Linked DNA regions of Neurospora crassa OR74A. The protein of the gene in region 1 interacts with the protein of each later gene in a biochemical or structural test. Links are inferred from orthologs where the notes say so. Each region holds a gene or a part of one and is shown in the gene's direction. Other genes may lie near its edges.

What was found.
Region 2: of the proteins of prm-1 (region 1) and NCU17030, one has a biochemical effect on the other in vitro, tested with the Saccharomyces cerevisiae proteins (4 studies listed by BioGRID). The link is inferred for Neurospora crassa OR74A from reciprocal best matches to the Saccharomyces cerevisiae genes HMT1 and HRP1.
Region 3: of the proteins of prm-1 (region 1) and NCU03092, one has a biochemical effect on the other in vitro, tested with the Saccharomyces cerevisiae proteins (2 studies listed by BioGRID). The link is inferred for Neurospora crassa OR74A from reciprocal best matches to the Saccharomyces cerevisiae genes HMT1 and NSR1.

The regions. Positions count from the first base shown.
Region 1 is NC_026501.1:553,311-559,814, forward strand, and holds prm-1 (protein arginine N-methyltransferase 1), read left to right. Parts: upstream 1-2,653; 5' UTR 2,654-2,917; coding exon 2,918-3,003; intron 3,004-3,088; coding exon 3,089-3,102; intron 3,103-3,215; coding exon 3,216-3,345; intron 3,346-3,461; coding exon 3,462-3,793; intron 3,794-3,864; coding exon 3,865-4,343; 3' UTR 4,344-4,940; downstream 4,941-6,504. Other genes in the region: mob-2b (protein kinase activator), read left to right, coding at 610-877, 941-1,052, 1,123-1,654. UniProt on the Saccharomyces cerevisiae protein: S-adenosyl-L-methionine-dependent protein-arginine N-methyltransferase that catalyzes both the mono- and asymmetric (type I) dimethylation of the guanidino nitrogens of arginine residues in a variety of RNA-binding proteins such as heterogeneous nuclear ribonucleoproteins (hnRNPs) and small nuclear ribonucleoproteins (snRNPs).
Region 2 is NC_026505.1:5,319,769-5,326,025, reverse strand, and holds the start of NCU17030 (heterogeneous nuclear ribonucleoprotein HRP1), read left to right. Parts: upstream 1-1,999; 5' UTR 2,000-2,614; coding exon 2,615-2,658; intron 2,659-2,724; coding exon 2,725-3,177; intron 3,178-4,650; coding exon 4,651-4,691; intron 4,692-4,809; coding exon 4,810-4,973; intron 4,974-5,040; coding exon 5,041-6,257. Other genes in the region: NCU04241 (TBC1 domain family member 22A), read right to left, coding at 1-757, 840-965, 1,033-1,042, 1,132-1,150, 1,216-1,260. UniProt on the Saccharomyces cerevisiae protein: RNA-binding protein, which is involved in the polyadenylation-dependent pre-mRNA 3'-end formation and cooperates with the cleavage factor CFIA complex and the cleavage and polyadenylation factor (CPF) complex.
Region 3 is NC_026501.1:4,516,601-4,522,837, reverse strand, and holds NCU03092 (nuclear localization sequence binding protein), read left to right. Parts: upstream 1-1,876; 5' UTR 1,877-2,112; coding exon 2,113-2,472; intron 2,473-2,532; coding exon 2,533-3,128; intron 3,129-3,190; coding exon 3,191-3,521; 3' UTR 3,522-4,367; downstream 4,368-6,237. Other genes in the region: NCU03094 (hypothetical protein), read right to left, coding at 1-298; nuo12.3 (NADH:ubiquinone oxidoreductase 12.3kD subunit), read right to left, coding at 1,014-1,102, 1,227-1,452; NCU03091 (hypothetical protein), read right to left, coding at 5,207-6,237. UniProt on the Saccharomyces cerevisiae protein: Involved in pre-rRNA processing. Specifically binds nuclear localization sequences. Candidate for a receptor at the nucleus that may be involved in both RNA and protein transport. Binds telomeric sequences of the type (TG[1-3])n in vitro.

The DNA.
Region 1 (6,504 bases):
TCGCTCCTTGTTGCATTCAGGCACCATCACGTCCTGTCTACCTACTACAACGTCCAAGTTCACTTCCCGTATAAGTCGGTATCATGTCGAACCTCTTTTCTGGAATGTAGGTACCCGTTCTTTCTCACGCCTCTCTCTCATCTCACATGCTTGTCACTTCAGGTTCTCTCAACAACTGGCCTAGTGGGCTTTACTTGTGAGAGGCTGCAATCAAATGGTCATCGGTCATTTATGTTTCTCTGGTTTCTCCGGATCCATCTGTCTCGGTTCTGCTTTCTCACATTGCCAGCCATCACATGTCATTATTATAGAGTGATGGGTATGACGGTTTTGGTCTTGAGCTAGGTTCCTTTCAGAGTCACCCAGACACAACGGCCGCGCAGCACGCACAGTACATATACCATCACGAGCAATATTACTGCCGTTACGTTTCAACCTTCTTTGTCCTTCATCATCCTCCAATATCCGGTCCTGAATACAAACATGTCTTGGGTTTGTCGACAGATGCTGACCCAACCAGAAATGCCCGCCTGAGAGGCACGGCAAACAAAACCACGTCAAACAAAACCCCCCCAATCACCCGCCACCGACGATGTTCACCATCATCATATGCCCTCACCCAGCAACAACTCCATCTCCAGCCAGAGCTCAGCCAACCTGTCCTCCAAGCTACCGCCACTTCCTGCCTCACCCTCACTATCTCAGTCAATCGGTATGATGGGCACTGGTGAAGAGGCCCTCAACGCCTATCATCTTCCCAGGCCACTGCCACTGTGGCTGAACCCGACGGCCGCGAAGCACATCGTCAAGGGCAACTTTATGACACTCAGCGCTAGGCCCAAGACGGTGGAGCAGGGCGAGTGGATTGCTCATCAAGGTAATTCATGATCCTTGTCTGTGACTGTTACACGTTATCGTGTCCACTGACATCATCATGTAGTGGTTGAGCATTACCGCAACTTGTGGAACTTTGTCAGAGTTGTATACGAAAAGGAAGAGGATGGAAAGTCGATTTGCAACTCCATTACCTGCCCCAGGATGTCCGCTGGAACGTAAGAACGGAAACCCCCAATGCCCATGTCGAAGCACCTCAAGGATCTGTTTTAACAGAAATGGGCACAGGAACCACTCGTACACGTGGCTAAACAGCCGCTTTGAGCCCATTGAGCTCCCAGCATATGAGTACATTACTCTGATGCAGCGGTGGATTTCGGGCAAGATTGACGATACCAAGATGTTCCCCACCGAGGCGTCGGGGGTTTCGTTTGCGCATAACCCTCAGATTACCACAACGGCACTTTTGACGGGTCCTGACGACTGGATCGGCAAGCGCAGCGGATTCCCCAAGGAGTTTTTCAACATTTGCCAGACCATCTTCCTCCAGATGTTCCGCGTCTACGCTCACCTTTACTGGGCCCACTTTACGGAGCCCTTCTACCATTTGAACTTGGAGAAGCAACTCAACAGCTGTTTCAGCCATTTTGTGCTGACAGCGACCGCCCTCGATATGCTCAAGCCGGCCGAGCTTGAGCCAATGCAGCCTTTGATTGATCTCTGGGCCGCCAATGGTACCTTTCCACCGGAATCGAAGGCTTATGAGTACGCCAACTTGAAGGTTGGCACTCGCCTGATGCAGATGGCAGGCCTGGCTTAATTACAGGAGCATGAAGAAAACAAGGGGATGTTATGGGGAAAAACAGAGCATATCATGATGAGGCTTGTCAACATGTGGAGTATCCTGATCTATCTCGGTTATGTTGGGTTACTCTAGAGGATAGATAATGGCCATGTGTACATTGAACGGGAGTTAGATGTGGCAGGCCAGAAAAGCGATGGATGAGGAGACTAATACCAAGACGAAAAGTATCACTATATATATCTGGGCGTTTGCTGAAGGAAAATGGCTTGTCCTTACTGGGATGCTGACTCGAGAGGGCAAGGGGCAGTTAGATCTCTTAGTCGCTTGAGTGTTCGAAAGAAGGTTGAGAAGTGATGGCTCATTTATCATGGATCTGAATGGCGTTGAAAGGGAAATGCCAGATCTCTACAATACAACACCCTTCAAGATATCCAAACCCACGTTGGGGTTACACCTGATGTCAGATACATCAATGGGAGCACGGGCTAGACCTAGCGCCAAAGTGGCAAGCACCAGGGGAGGGGGCCAGTGAGGTGGAGTGCTCCAAAAAGGGTCCAAAAGGGCCCATCAGCGGCCCAGACTGCCAAGACCGAGCTAGGCACGCCAGATCCAAAAGGGGACAAGCCTGGAGATGGGACGGCGTCGCGGGGGGCAAGAGATCGGATAATGCGATAAAGCGGTTTCAGTTGTAGTCCCCATGTTCGGGGGGCCCGGCGCGCAGACTGTACTAGTGTACTAGGTACATAGTAGGTTGTGCCAGGCGTGCCTGTCAGTGCCTGCGCGGATGTCGGACAGCCCTGTACCTACGCGTGTAAGTGAGGTGTCGGGCCCGTGTGGGTGACGACTCGGGCGGGTACTCTTGCGGGCAGGCGGGAAAGCCCCCCAGGACCCCACCCCACCCAGGAACTGCCTCCCTCTCCATCTCTGGAGCCCAGCACAACCCAAGTTGAAGTGGGGTATGGATCTGATTTGGCAACCCAATCTCTGACGGGGCCAGGCAAAAAGTTGAGGCAAGGAAAGGCCATGCTGGACCCGTCTGGGCAATTGCCATTGCGGCACACGAAGAAAACTTCACAAGCATCAGGCTCCCCTTCGAACCTGCCTCTCCATCCTCCTTCCCACTTTTTATCTCCATCGCTGAGCTGCCCTGCAAATTTTCCAGCTTTACATTTTCCTCTTCTTTGATTCCTTTTGGTTTCTTTACACCAATTCATCTTTTATTCTTGTCTGTTTTCCCATACACAAACAGCACCAACAGCAGCATCAACAACAGTCAAGATGGCGGCCAACGATCAGATGGACATTGAGGTTGCCGAGCAGAAGCTCAAGAGCATGGATCACGCCGAGCAGCACTACTTCAACAGGTACGAACATGACCGTCTCGTCTCTTCTCGTTGTTGTTATATGGTGGTAGAGACAGATCAAAGCTAACATGACTTCGTTCTCTAGCTATAACCACCATGGTGAGACACCTCCATCCGCTTATCGCGGGGTCCACGGACTGCGCGCTTCCTAGTTGGCCTCGTGGCCGTTCATAGTCTGACTGTTGCTAACCTGGACCTGTTGCGCGACAAAGGCATCCACGAGGAAATGTTGAAGGACGAGGTCAGAACCAAGTCATACATGCACTCTATCGTCCAGAACAAGCATCTCTTTAAGGACAAGATCGTTCTCGATGTCGGTTGCGGTACTGGTATCCTCTCCATGTACGTCCCCACTCCCTGCATCACGCAAACCTGCAGCTCTGGCGGTCCTGGAATGCGCCGAGCACTGCAATCCAAAAACGGTGGAACAGCCTGCTAACCGTCTTCTCTTCTCACAGGTTTGCCGCTAAGGCCGGCGCCAAGCACGTTATTGGTGTTGACATGTCCACCATCATCTTCAAGGCTCGTGAGATTGTCAAGGTCAACGGTCTCTCCGACAAGATCACCCTGATCCAGGGCAAGATGGAGGAGATCGAGCTTCCCTTCCCCAAGGTTGACATCATCATCTCTGAGTGGATGGGTTATTTCCTCCTCTACGAGTCCATGTTGGACACTGTCCTCTACGCCCGTGACCGTTACCTGGCTCCCGGCGGTCTTATCTTCCCCGACAAGGCTACCATCTTCATTGCTGGTATCGAGGACGGTGACTACAAGGATGAGAAGATTGGCTGTATGTTTCCTGCCCCTGGTTTTTTTGCTTTCGATTTTGTGAAGAACTTCCTACTGACACCGGTTTACCAGTCTGGGACAACGTCTACGGATTCGATTACAGCCCTCTTAAGGAGACTGCTCTCTCCGAGCCTCTTGTCGACACTGTTGACGTTAAGACCGTCGTCACTGACCCCGTCAACATCTTGACTCTCGACCTTTACACTTGCACCACTGCCGACCTGGCTTTCAAGACCAACTTCGAGCTCGTCGCCAGACGCGATGACTTCATCCACGCCCTTGTCGCCTGGTTCGACATTGACTTCACTGCCTGCCACAAGCCCATCCGCTTCTCGACCGGTCCCCACACCCAGTACACCCACTGGAAGCAGACCGTCTTCTACCTCAAGGACGTCCTCACCGTCCAGCAGGGCGAGAAGGTTCAGTGCTCGCTCCACAACCGCCCCAACCAGAAGAACAAGCGTGATCTTGATATCACCGTCGATTACAAGTTCGAGAACCAAGACCCCACGAGGCAGGCTGAGGGCAGGTGCTTGTACAAGATGTGCTAGTATTTTATTTGATTGCAGATCTGCCGGACAAAAGTGTCGAATCGACGAGTCAAATGGACGATGCGAGCTGAAAAGCCGCCCCTTGTCCATGAGATGGTCGAAGAGATGTGGTTGAGCTCACAGTATTCACGAACGAAGCTTTTGGGGGTATTGGGAATTGCACGGCGTCTTAAAAGAGAAGGGGTTGCTTTTTAACCTGGGTTTTGTGTTTTTCATATATTTTGCTTTTTACGAACTCACTAGCGGGACCAGGGGTTTTCTTAGATATCCAGCAGCGGAAAGGAAGCGCGCGCGGAAGAAAGAAGAGACATACATATAAGGGAACTCTCTTACTCTGTAATACACAGAGAAAACATGAGTCAATGCTTGATTAAAGCACGAAATCACAACGCGATACGTTCGGCCCGCAGGGTTGGGTGCGTGATTGCAAAAGCATCCGGAAGATAACATCAACGGAATGCTCATAACTGATCACAATGAGATATCATGAGATAGTGATGCTGAATACTTGATGCGATACCCAACGGAGAAAGAGTTGAGTACGAGTTGTATAGTTTGTTAATTTGTTGAAAATGGAGAAATCTCGACCTATACCACAACAAGGCATGATTTTCTGATGTTCCCGTCAGACGAAGTTGAATTGAACACCCGCACTTTAATCAACCGACCAAAGTCGAAATGAACTTTGCTGAGGTTGGTGGTAGTAAGCGCCAATCAAACAACGCATAGCCGGACGTTGAATCATCTTTGTTCGAGCTTGGTGGTTACTAAACCACCAATTCAGGCGTTCAGCGACGGAGAAAATTAAGCAAATCAAAAACACGCTGTAGCTTCATTTGGCCCCCCCATCTTCCACTACTATCTCCGACCCCCCAACCCGCCATAACTATTACTATCATCTTCTCGCCGAAAACACCACGCTCAACGTTATCGAACGGCTAAGTGAGTTATGAAGCACGACTCGCACTGCCACCATCGTAGGGCGGAGGTGTTTACAAAGTTGTGTTGTGAAATCGTAATTGGTAGTGTTTTTGAGGGAGAGGCCTTGTTGTTCGTTATTATCTGTATATAGACTAGTACCCGCTACCTAGAATAGATGATACAGCCTAGGTAGTCTAATATGTCAATCGGCTATATATCGTTTATTCTTTAAAAAAGAAGAGATAATGGAGGCTACTAATCTAGGTAGGTAGGTAGGCAAATTACTGTGATTACCCTACATACCTAGTCCGAGGTTAGGTACATTAGTACGGTTTTTGCCAATGAAGTTTTTTGATTGATGCTTTCTGCTTAGTAGGTACCTTTTGTTTGTTTGCCAGGCGGGGATGAATTATAATAGGTACCTCCAAGGTGGTGGTAACTACCTACCTAGGTAGGTAGGTATCGATGTTGTCCTGCACTGCACTGTACTGCACGAGCGAAGCTAAGCTAAGCTAAGCTAAGCTAAGCTAAGCTCACTCACTTCTGCAGCAGTTGCGTACGTACCTACATACCTAGACGGAGGTAAGTAAACAAGCAAGCAGGTTCGGAGGTTCCGAGGTTACTAGGTACGGTTGCTGTTTGACTTTAAGTAAGTAAGTAAGTGAGTAAGTAAGTAAGTAAGTAAGTAAGTAAGTAAGTAACTAACTAACTAACTAACTAACTAGTCTAGCAAGAAGCAAGAAGCAAGAAAATAGTACAGCAAAAGTAGTGGGTATATCTGGAGGGTGATGGTCGACAGAAGAAAAAAAAATGCAAAAGAAGAGGAGGAGGAGGAAAAAAAAGAAAGAAAAGAAAGAAGACCCTAAGGTTGCAAGAACTTTTGAAATTTGAAATCTAGAAAAATCATCCCATCCCGTCGTCGTCGTACCTTTCTGTGCTATATGAAGAAAAAAAAAAAAAAAAAAAAAAAAAGAGAAAAGAGAAAGAAATGGAATCCCACGGGCCGACCAAAAGATCTGCTTCAGATCCTGTATATATCCATATAACGACGCCATACCACGCCATGCTATCAACACCAACTTTTTGCCTTTTCCCTTGATGCTTTCTTTTCCTTTTTTTTCTTTTCTTGTATATGGTTTCCCCCAAACCAGTCCAGTCCAAGGCATAATACCAACAAACCAACCACCCAACACAACCCAACACCAATATAACAAAGCAACATCATGAAAGCAAAGAACTA
Region 2 (6,257 bases), on another chromosome or scaffold:
ACCTGCTCGTTCAAAGGCTTGTCGTACGCCGTCCAGGTATTCTTTTCGTTTGCGCTCTAGTGTGGCCACCCTCCTTTCACTGCTGGTGGGGAGGTAGCTTAGCAGGAGCTGCCACGTCATGGCGCGGACTTCTTCTGGTACGCCAGACCAAGCTAGGGCTCGAAGGTCGTTTAGAGGGATGGTTGATGCTTGAAGAATCTTTTTGAATTTGTTGATCCTGGTTATCCTCGAGTTGACAGCATCGATTTCCTTCTGGGAAGCATTAGGTGGTACGGAAGGATGGTTGATTAGGTGTAGGGCGTTTGCGGGATCGCGGAGTATGTCTCTGTACTGTGGTCGGAGGATCTTGCCTTCGGTCTTCTTGGGCATTGGGTAGGTAGATGCTGGTCGCTCGATGGCTATGTCGGCGCTGTCCGAGTAGCGACGTCCGGTTGCGTCTGTGAGTGTGTTTGTCGCAGTTCCTCGGCTGGTTCCTTGTTCAGTCTGCGCTGCGATCCGACGCGACCTCCTCTTCATGCTGGACAGACTGGGAAGCCCAAAGTCATCGTCACCATCGTCTTCGTAGGCGTATACATCGTCTGCGTCGTCGGCCGCCCAGTCTTCGTTGGTGCTCGTTATGAAATTCATGTAGTTTTGGAAAGGAGGTGATGTCACCCCTTTGATATGGGGCGAGGCTGTACTATTGGAAGTGGTTCGGCCGAGGGCAGAGGACGAGGGAGGAGGGGTTCGTGGTCGCGATCCGGCGTTCGACAGATTTCTAGTCCAAGAGCGCCATAGTCAGCAAAGACGCCGTCGTTTCCCAGAGAGACATCCAAACAGTAACGCCGGCACCAACGCACAATGAATCAAACTTGAGCATGTCGGCATGGGAATAGGCAGCGCCAACGACCTTGCCCGAGTCGCGAGTGGTCGTCTTCTTTAGCGGGGCATCCTTCTGGGGCGCTCTCCAAAAAGGGGAGCCAGAGCTGTCGCATTGTCCGAGTCATGTCAGTGTTTCCGTCTTTGAGTTTAGGAATAGGACTTGGGACATACTCGGACCTGTCTGAAGCCATGACGGGACATGGGATCAGCAACTGGTTATACAACAAACAACGAAAGAGGGGGGGGTTGTAGTCATCAGGCAGGACATACCAACTTGCACCATCTCCTGCTGGCGTAGCGACATCATGGCCTGTTAGCATCATTGGAGTGAGGAAATGAAGCACTAACACGTACCTGGGGAGACGCTTTCTTGCCCGAGCTCGAAGAAGAAGAAAACATTATGTGAGTGGGTAGTATACAAACAGGACTGGTGATTTCGCCTTGGTTTACCAGCGCAATGGCATCACACCATGGTCAACAATGTCGTTCGTTGAAAGGGACGGAGGGAATGTCCATGGAGCTAGACAGGCAGACAATGGAAGTGGCCGTTCCTGTTCCCTTCAATTCATTGATGGCGTGGTCGTGTTAAGCCCATCGGCTCGTTTCCTGGGTACACAGCGGTTGCCAGGCTCGGGGCCACTAACAAACACATGGCTTTTGGCAACCGGGCACGTCCAGGGCATCTTGCCCATCATTCAGGTCATCTCATCTCGGTGTCTTTGCCTTCCTGTTCCAGCAGTGATTGACTTCAGTTGGACACCGTCCGCCTGTCACAGCTCGCCAGCTGTTCGCCAGCCTCAGACGGGCAGCCGATGTCGCTCACAACTTGAACCACTACAGCGCATGGGCAGCCCACCTCAGAGGGTGTGATAAGGTGCGCTGGACTGGCACCCCCTTCCCCGCAGGTACACAGGCCTCGTTGTATAGGCTGTTTCTCACCGCCTACGCGCCTAGAGGTAATTGGCCCTTGCAGACCTACCATAGGTACCTACCTCTAGACACGCGACTGCCACCTAGGTGGGCAAGGGAAGTGCCGTAGAGGAGTCATGTAGAGGTAGTACCTAAGGTAGGTAACGTCTTTTTGTTAGTACCCGACCCCAAGTCTTGGTTGCCGGAAGCGCCCCAACTCGCGGTGCCGGTGCCTTGAATCGGGGTCCACACCCGACCGAACCTTAACACTCGGCGCCAAACTGAATGGGACTGCAGGGCAGCGGCGAGGGGACTGAGGCAGGCAGACTGATGGAGTTCCAGGTCCGGTTTCTTCACTTGAAAAGCAAACGACGTCCACTCTTCCACACTTTCCACCTTCACTTTTCTACCCAAGTCAAGTCATCCTCGACAGCAGCAATCACAACCACAACCGACGACTTCATTAGTTCACTTGTACACCCAATCCGTGCCCAAATTCGGGTCTTTTGATCTGAGGGAGGAAACTGTACAAGCACCTGACGGACTCGACTTCCACCCACCTCGGGCTCTACTTGAGCTGCTCCGAGGTCCATCCGCCGCATCTCTTCTTGCGACGAGACAACTCGACCACTACGATCCATTCGCGTCTCGCTGCTTCTCGACGACTAGACCATCTTAAGTTGTGTATTCTTTCTGACCTTGTTCGGCCTGGTCTACTTCCAGCAATCCTTCCCCGCCCTACGCCATCTCAGCGTTCCACACAAATACCAGTCTGAATCAACCTCAACTCTCATCTCTTTTCCATCTTCGATACCCGGTATTCAAACACACAACAACCGCCAAAATGGCCGAAGCAGAGAATTACGAGGATGACCTCTTCGACGACCTGTATGTTATTTTGAGTACTCGCGTAACCACCCAATCTGAACATGATCTGACACTCTTGCGAACTAGGTACAACGACGACGACGCTCCCGCTGCCTCAAAGCCAGCCGCTGCACCAGCTTCCGCCCCCACTACAGCTCAGACTTCAGCTACTGAGCAGCCTTCTCAACAACAGCAGCAACAGCAGCAACAGCAAGAGCAGCAGCAACAAGCTGCCGCCGTCCAGCAGTCGGCTGCTGACAACTACGGAGGATCCAACGACTACAGTCAGCAAGGCTACTACAATGGAGGCAACGGACAATACGGCAACGATGAGGAAGAAGACGAAGACGAAGACGATATCGACTTCAATCTCGGAAGCGGCCCGTCCACCACGGTCGCTCGCCATGAGGACGACAACAACAACCAAAACAACAACCAAAACAACAACAACAACAACAACAACAGCCAGTCTCAATCGCAATATCATGCTCCCCCACCGACCCAGGCCCAACACAAGGGCCCCAATGCCAAAGAAGATGGGTAAGTCACATCCCCTTGATGCTATTCGTGACACACGTATATGCTCGTAACATCCCCCAACCCCCGTACAACCCCTCTCTGTATCCTCGATTTCGCCCCGACGCAGCTGCAGCCCCGCCCAGGCTCTCCCACATGAAGAGATGAACACCTACTCGAGACCCGCTCAGGACGTGGCGTCCCAGAACTGCTCGGTTGGCTGGTAGGGAATGGAAGGATTGGGCGGCGCAAGGACCTGATGAGCACAGTAGAGTCTTGGTATCAGACACTCTGAGTTACTCTGGCGCGTATGGGTGAACCATACCGTATGGATGCACCAGGGGCTACAAGACTGCAAGTGATCAAAGGCAGGAAGGGATCGCTCTCCGCTATGGACGTGAACATAAAAATCGGGAGAAAAGAGGCTGGAAGCCGTGGACTTGTCCAGGGTCACGCCATGGATCAAGCTTCGACGTCAGATTGATCCCGGAGTACGCTCCTGTCTGTACTACAAGAATGGTGGATGGCCTTGCGGAGGTAATCTTAATAGGGCGTGAGGGAACCGGCTTCCTTTTGCCAGGACGGTCGATGAGCCTGCAGCCAGAGCAAGATTAGCAGCGAGAAGGGCAGCACCCAGAACAGATACAGACAGTACCTAGCTTGACGGTAGCAAAGAGCTCGAGACAGCAAAAAAATTCGAAGAAAGATTCCGGCACACCCAGAGACCACTTGGAAAGTGGAACATTGCTGCGCTGCTGCATCTTCTGTTCACTCTGGGAACTGCCGTAGCATCCCCCCACCCTGGCCCATTTCCGTCAAGTCAAGTCAGCATTCGGCACATTAGGACAGCAGTCGTCTCGTCACCCTTGAGAACATCGCGGAGGCGGCTTCCAACTTCTCATTCGCCAAATGACAACCATCATACGGTCCTCGGTCGGTGGGCTCCGCCAACCTGCGAAGCCAACGGGAGAATCACATCCATTGCCACACCCACAGTCAAAACACCAGGCCCAGTATAAACAAGATGAAGGGTAGTTCTTCGGATATTGATGGTGGAGCCCATGCTATGTCAAGGATCATGACGGTAGACGGTCCATGTGGTCGAACTAGAGGTCTGGGATAGACATTACCTGAGGCTGCTCAAGTCCTGGCGCAACGGCTGGGCAAATGGGCTTGCTTCCCCAGTTCACGCTATATGCACGCGCCTCTCCAAACAACGGCTACAAACATGCTTCCGCATCACACTGATTGGTAGCTCTTGGGTTCGCGTGTAGCCATATGCGGATTCGCTCAGGATTTGGGTGTCTAAAGGGCTAGGCGGCTGGGGCTGTTTGCTTGATCACTCGCAATGTCTTTCTCACATCCGCATTTCATCTCATCGAGCCCACACATTCTTCACTGCCCTCATGTTACGCTTACTTGTTCATGTCCAGGTATCATAGATTGCTCAAAAGATGATGTTGACTAACGTCTTGCGCGTGCGCTTGTGTCTTATAGGAAGATGTTCATTGGTGGCCTGAACTGGGAGACTACAGACCGTAAGCCTTGCCATTTTCCCTGTCCTCTCCTCATGGTAATTGTTGCCCTCAAGGGGCACCATATGTACCATATGGTATTCGTGACAGTTGTACTGATACCGGTCTTGTGACTTTTTAGAATCCCTGAGAGATTACTTCTCGCAGTTCGGCGAGGTTGTAGAATGCACCGTTATGAGAGATGGCGCCACCGGTCGCTCGCGTGGCTTCGGATTTCTTACCTTCAAGGACCCAAAAACAGTGAACATTGTTATGGTCAAGGAACACTACCTTGACGGCAAGATCGTACGTTTGCCCGCCATAGCTCGTCTAACCCGTCAAATAAGTGGCCACTAACTCATTCTCCTTATAGATCGACCCGAAGCGCGCCATTCCCCGCGATGAGCAAGAGAAGACTTCCAAGATCTTTGTTGGTGGCGTTTCTCAGGAGACCACGGACCACGAGTTCCGCGAGTACTTTGCCCAATTCGGCCGTGTCGTCGATGCCACCCTCATGATGGATAAGGACACTGGCCGTCCCCGTGGTTTCGGCTTCGTCACCTTTGAGTCCGAAGCTGGCGTCGAGGCGTGTCTCTCTGCCAACCTTGAGATCCATGGTAAGCCTATCGAAGTCAAGAAAGCCCAACCCCGCGGCAACCTGCGCGAGGAGGCTGAGGAAGCTGCGAGACGCGGCGGCGGCAAGTTCGGCCAGCGCCGCAGCGGTCAGCAAGGTGGTGGCATGGATGATGGCTCCGGTCAAGGCGGTATGAATGTCATGGGCGGCATGGGCGGCGCCGGCACTGCCGGTATGACCCCCCAACTCATGGCCCAGTATCTCCAGCGGATGCAGCAGGCCTTCCAGATGATGCAGCAACAGATGGCCATGAACAGGGGCATGCAGAACCCCATGGTCCAAATGATGCAGATGCAGCAGATGCAACAAATGCAACAACAGATGATGGCCGCTCAGCAAGCCCATGCCGCGGCTCAGGCGGGTGCAGGACAGCAAGGCAGCGGTGGCCGCGCTGGTAGTGTCGGCGCGGGTCAGGGGCCTAACGCGCAGAACCCCCAGGCGATGGCTGCCGCCATGGGCATGAACCCGGCGATGATGCAGCAAATGATGGGCGGCGCTGGCGGTCCCGGAGCCGGTGGTGCTGATGGAGGTGCCGGTGGTCCTAAGGGGGGATTCGGCGGCTTCGACGGACAGCAGGGTTTCGATGGCCAGCAGCGCGGCCCCGGCGGCGGTAATCGCGGTCCTCGCAACGATCCCGCTGGTGGCAACTACGGCGGTGGAATGCCCGGTGCTGGAGCGGGCTACAACATGGGCGCCACCAGCTGGGAGGGCATGTACGATGACGTCCCCCAACCGATGATGGGCGGTCCCGGTTTCGGTCCTGGCATGGGCGGCATGGGTATGGGTATGGGCGGCGGCATGGGCGGTGGCGGTGGTGGTGGAGGACGTGGCGGTTTCCATAAGGGTCGCGGCCATCACCACGGCAGCGGCGGTGGTCATCAGCAGGGCGGCCATCAAGGCTCGCATTCGCCCGGCGGACCGGTCGACCCGGCCAGCGCACCTCCTCCTAACGCCCC
Region 3 (6,237 bases), about 4.0 Mb from region 1:
CGGGATCCGCCTTGTTCTTGAAGTAGTTGAGACCGTTAAGCTTGGTGCCCGCCGGGCAAGACGAGATGGCCGCCTTGGCTTGTTCTGTCGTCGCGGCGCCTGGTACTGGTGCGAGGCCGGCCTCGGCTGTGGAAGTTGCTGGTGCGGCGGCGGCGGGGGTCGCTGCGGGAGGAGTGCACACGCTGAAAGTGGTACTGAAGGCGGCGCGCGAACTAGCGGCAACCATGGGCCTGGTGGCCGCGGCGGCGGCAGGTCTGGCGAAGCCGGAAGCCCGGCGCAAACACGTTCGGCAGATCATGGCGATTATCCCGGGGGATGGTCGGAGGTGTATGTGTGTAATCGTCGGCAGTCGGCCAGTGGGAATTACACCAAGGATCGGATCGATTGGATAGACAACTCGCTTAAATCAGCTTCACAGGTGCGAATGTAAAAAGACACGCCGGCCGGAAGTGGCTTTCGGCCTGGGGAGACGGACACGGGATGCGCGCGACGAATTGGAGGGGTGGGACGGGAGCTAAAAATTTCTACGGCGGGTGAAAAGCACCACTGGAGCAGTTTTGATATTGGACAGGAACCGTTGCAGCTGTTACTAGGGCAGTGACAACTAAAGCACTTTATGTATTCTATAGTCCAAATCTGCGAACTGTACAGACAACATACGTGCAGAAGAATAAATGAAAAAAATAAAAAAAATGGGAGGCCGAATTGAGTCCTGTTATTCCTCTAGTCCCCCGTGTGTCTGTTGTTGCCGAGTTCTGTTAATATTTACATGCCTGCTCGTAAGTCTCATTAAAGGGCCCGAGCACTCCTCTGGGGGTTGCTGAAGCCGAACGTCTGAAAGGGTGGTCCGCGATGTTATGGAGCCCCTTCCCGGTTCGACCATGACTGACTCGCTCTCCGGTTCTCGAGCGCACTGCCCTGCCAAAACTCTCGCTGCCCAGATCATTTCAGCCCCAAATCAGCTCGCTCCAGCTTGTACCCTCCGGTCTGCTCCCAGAATGATGGAGGAGAACTCATTGCTTTGGCTGGTTCGCGAAATGGTTCTGCTGCTCGAAAAGATAACCCTGGACACGGTTTTCGGAGAGTAGTTGGAGGTAGCGTTCTGTGTCAGAAACAAGTCAGCAAGAGAAGGGGAAAAAGCACCATCGCATGGCTGATTGCATGCAATTGCTGAATGGTTCTGCCGCCAAAGAACCACGGGAGATGGGAAGCACTCCTGTACCCACCTCTCAGATGTCCGCACTTCTCCAGATGGTTCACGCCCTCCCTATAATAGCACTTGGACAACTCCTCCCGCACCAGGCGACCCATCATAACTCGGACCCATTGCTCGCGGATAATGGCATCCTGGGCCTGCTTCAGGCGCTTCGTATCATTGTAGTCGACGCCGTCAAAGGTGGGCGGGACGGTGGGCTTCTTGGCCAGGAAGGCCGCCGATTCGGGAGTAGGCATTGCTGCTAGATGTGGGCGACTCGCGAGAGAAGACCGAAAGCACAAGTTGTCGTCAAACAAAGCTGTAGAGAGGGAGAGAGACGCAGCTTATCGTCCCGCACTTTCGTCTCGTCGATGATGCCGTTGCAACCAACACGGCGCATCTCTAAGCTCCAAGTGGTGCCCCGGTCGTATGGTGGCTCGAGCTTTACAGCACACCTGGGAAACCAGGCAGGCAGGGACGCGCTAGCCCAAATGCTGTTCGTCTTTCGGACCATGCAGTAAAGTTGCAATTGACGGGGGGTCGTGGGCCGTGGCAGGCATGGGAAGGAACTTTCAGGTGGAACGAACTTCCCCACCGCGGCTCGTGCGCGGGCCACCGCCTTCGCGTGTGTACATAACCTCCACCCGGATCCTCCACTGCCCCAGGTCCCCTGCCCCACTAGAAAGTCCCATATCAAAGTGTGATAACGATTTTTTTTTCTGCCGTAGGTTGATCAGCCAGAGATTTTACGGTACCCGCCACCCTCTGCTCCCCATTTAAACAGCAGTCTTCCCGACGAAATTTCTTTTCTTCAGACGCATCCTTTATCCCATTCATCATCTTCATCCTTCTTTTTTCTTCAATACCCTTTAGCGGATTCCATCACTTCATCACATCACTTTACAACAACCGCTATCATGGGCAAGAAGGATTCCGTCAAGGCCACCAAGGCCACCAAGGTCGCCAAGGCCGAGCCCGTCAAGGCTGCTAAGCCCGTCAAGGCCACCAAGGCTGAGAAGCCCTCCAAGAAGTCCAAGAAGGAGGAGTCCTCTTCCGAGGAGGAGGAGTCCGAGTCTGAGTCTTCTGAGGAGGAGTCCAGCGAGGATGAGTCCAGCGATGAGTCTTCCGATGAGGAGATGACCGACGCTCCTGCCGCCAAGGAGACCAAGAAGGCCGAGTCTTCCGACTCTGACTCCGATTCTGACTCTGACGACTCCGAGTCTGAGGAGACTTCCGAGGAGGAGAAGCCCGCCGTCAAGGAGGAGAAGAAGGAGAGCGTGAGTACAACATAACTTCCTCTTCATAGTATACATCTGCTAACCCACGTCTGCTTATAGTCCGATGATGAGGAGAGCGACTCCGACAACTCCGATTCCGACTCTGACTCTGACTCTTCCGAGTCCGAGGAGAAGTCTGAGTCCGAGGAGCCTTCCAAGAAGCGCAAGGCTGAGGAGTCCTCCGAGGAGGAGGAGGCTCCCAAGAAGGCCAAGACTGAGGAGGTTGCCGACGACAAGAGCACCCTCTGGGTTGGTAACCTCGGCTGGGGTATCGATGATGCTATCCTCTTGGCTGAGTTCGAGGACTGCGAGGGTGCTAAGAGCGCTCGCGTCGTCACTGACCGTGAGTCTGGCCGCTCGCGCGGTTTCGGCTACGTCGACTTTGCCACCAACGAGCAGGCGCAGAAGGCTTATGATGCCAAGAGCGGTGCTCTTCTTGAGGGCCGTGAGATGCGTCTCGACTTCGCTGCCAAGGATGCCGGCAACAAGCCCCAAGACAAGGCCGCCAACCGCGCTGCCAAGCACGGTGACACCATCTCTCCCGAGTCCGACACCCTCTTCGTCGGTAACATGCCCTTCTCCGCCGACGAGTCTGTCGTCTCCGACTTCTTCAACTCCGTCGCTTCCGTTGCCAGCCTCCGTATCCCTACTGACCAGTGAGTATCCCACTATACCTTTGTGTGCATCTTTGCCGAGCAGAGTTTTAACAGTCTTCTAGGGAGTCCGGCCGCCCCAAGGGCTTCGCCTATGTTACCTTCAACTCCGTTGAGGATGCCAAGAACGCTTTCGAGCAACTGAACGGCTCCGACCTCAATGGCCGTCCCGTCCGTCTCGACTACGCCAAGCCCCGTGACAACAACGGTGGCGGTGGTGGCTTCGGCGGCGGCCGCGGTGGTGGCCGTGGCGGTGGCCGTGGTGGTTTCGGTGGCCGTGGTGGTGGCCGTGGTGGCCGTGGTGACTTCGGTGGCCGTGGCGGTGGCCGCGGTGGCGGACGGGGTGGTTTCGGTGGCAGCCGTGGTGGCTTCCAGGGCAAGAAGACCACCTTCTAAAGTGGTCAAGTGGGATTCCCGCACACATTGGGGAATGTGATACCATAACCTGAGGGCATTGAAACACAGATTCGCACTGGAGGGCTTAGTGGGTTGTCGGCTTTTGAAATCTTACAGTGTCTCCTTCGTGGGAGATCGTGGGCTTTTTGAGAGATAACTGCTTCCCTGCTGCGTGGCAGGGAAAGCAAGCGATACCTGAGGGCTTGAAGATGGTGGTGAGCTGGTAGCTCTTTGACAGCTCGTTCGTACATGGCACGTCTGTTCTTTCTCAACAGGAAAGTTAGGACCTCTGCCGGTGGGCTTGTTGGCTGGTTCCATGACCCTTGCGCGGTCGTCTGCACTTTGGATTCGATGCATACCAGAAGAATGATGGGTTCCAAGTACTCTGTGGGCTCGTGGGCTCTTGTGGGCTTTAGCTGACAAAACGGAAGAACGGAAAAGCGAGGACCTGTACTTGCACATGCCACAAACATGTGTTCACACAGCCTTATCCAGTCTGTGCTTCGAGGGTGGTTCATCGTTTCCTGTTCTTTTCCGCATACTATTGTCATTGCTTCTTCCTGTGGGGTTACTAAAGAGGGCATCTAAAAGTTGGTTTGGGATTTTCCGGTACAATCACGGGGTCACCTGGGGGCACTTAAAATGGGTTTCGGGTCTTTTCTTTTTCTTTTTTTTTCATATCAGCATTTGCCCTTCACGATACATCATCGATGGCGTAACGGTACAGAACACGGGTGATCCTTCTTAACGAACATTACCCGGTAAGTAATCTGATACTCTTCCCCTGTTTCATATACCCAAGTCCCAACGGACTAGAAGTAGCAAGAAAGAAGTATTGTTCAGTAACTGTGTTGTTCCAATGATGTGACTTGCCGTTATGTATGTGATGTGGTATTTTGAGGCGTAGACTTGTGTGTATGTATGTCGATAGGATCTTCAAAAAACTGCTCGTTCACAAAAGTCTTGATCATTCGTCACGTGTTTCAACATGGTCACAGTTGACCGCGATAGCTCCCAAAGTGTCACGAAGCAAATCCCCAAAAAGTTGAATTCGATGAACTCGGTTCGTCTACAAGTCATCTCAACAGTCGATACACAAACAAGCCCAAACTAAAGCCAAAGTCACGCAACACCAACAAAAAAAGAACCTAGACCTGCGACCAAATCGGGTAACCAAAATAACAAGATCAAATCCGAGTCCCGAATGAAAAAGACAACCAAGATGGGAAGAAAATATGAAGAAAATATGAAAAAAATAGCAGATTAAGAAGGTTAATGATGCGTGTATGCGTATGGCTGTCCCCATGATGCCAGATATTGAAGGTAAATGTTCTGCATACAATCGTTCTCTCCTCTCTTTGCAGCATTTGTTGGGGAATATTTCCTTCCAACGTCGTCGTCCATCGACTTGGATTCTTTCCGTGAAAGACCTATTTGGCCCAGCACCATCGGTATGATAAATGACGAGAGTTGATTCCCGCTGCAGCCGTAGCCGTAGTTGGTAGCAGCCAGTTGCCGTTATCGTTAGTGCTTTAGTGGATATTCTTCATAAAGCTCGTGTTGTACAAGAGCATGTTGGCTGGCTGACCAGGAGTTCCGTTCTCCCTCCTTTTTTGTTCTTTCATCTTTGAAGCCGATCGATAAACAGACATGTCGCTCGTCAAAGTCGTAACGCGTTGCATCGTTCAAGCAACGACACTCCTTCCAACCGAGCCCCACCTAAACCTCTTCAGCGTTCCGCTCGTCGTAGACCGCACAAACTCCTGGCCGCAGCTCGAAGAAGCGTTCGAGGCCGCTGATCCTGCAGAGGCCAGGCTTAAAGCGCTACTGCTCTCTTGTCGGCCGACTTCCCGTCCGATGACGTAGCCGGCGCCGAACCCGACGACTGACACGAGAACTACCACGCCGGCGCTTACCACCCATGTCAACACGGTCGGGCTTAGGAAGAAGGGGGAGGCGACATCGTTATCTGACACAACCCCCGCTGGCGAGGGTGAGTTTGCCCTCCTCTTCTTCGCGGTACGCGCTGGTTTCGAGGCAGGGTTTGCTCCCTGCTTGGTCCGTTCGGTCGTGGCAAGACCTTGTTGATGTTGCTGCTGTTGCTGTTCCCGGCCAGAGCTGGCGGATCGCGGAGCGCTTGGTGCACTGGAGTTGGAGGCGGTCCTTGCTGGTTGTTGTGCCTTGGCCTGGTTGAGCGGCAGCCCTATTCCGGAAGGACCTTCGGCCATGAGTTCAGACTCTGGCACCAGGCGGAATTCCATTGGCTGGGAACTGGGCATTACGCCGGTACCAGCAGGACCTGGGCTTGTCTCTTCCCCCTTGGGAAGGCCACGGGCGGCAGCGGCACATGACAAGAGGGTGGTGAGGGAAGCACGAAGCGCGGCGTCGTTGTCGGCTTGCAGAGCTGGGGACAGAAAGTTGTGCGATGCACGATGCGACCGGGTTTGCGAACGGGTTGGCATGGATGGCCGGAATTGCGCGGGATGATATGGGTGGGATGGACTTGCGGATTGGTGGCGTTGCATCATGTAGGATGGTGGATGAGAGAAGGCGTTCGGCTGCGGCCTAAAGGTACCCCGGGCCGTGTTGGTTGGCCGGCCGAGAGCAGTCGCATTCTCATCATCATCCGAGTCGTCCTCCGAGTCTACTGGTAGGCCGCTTCGGAAAGCAGTCTGTTGACGGGGCAAGCTGGCTGCTGGATGAACGCCTTCTGTCG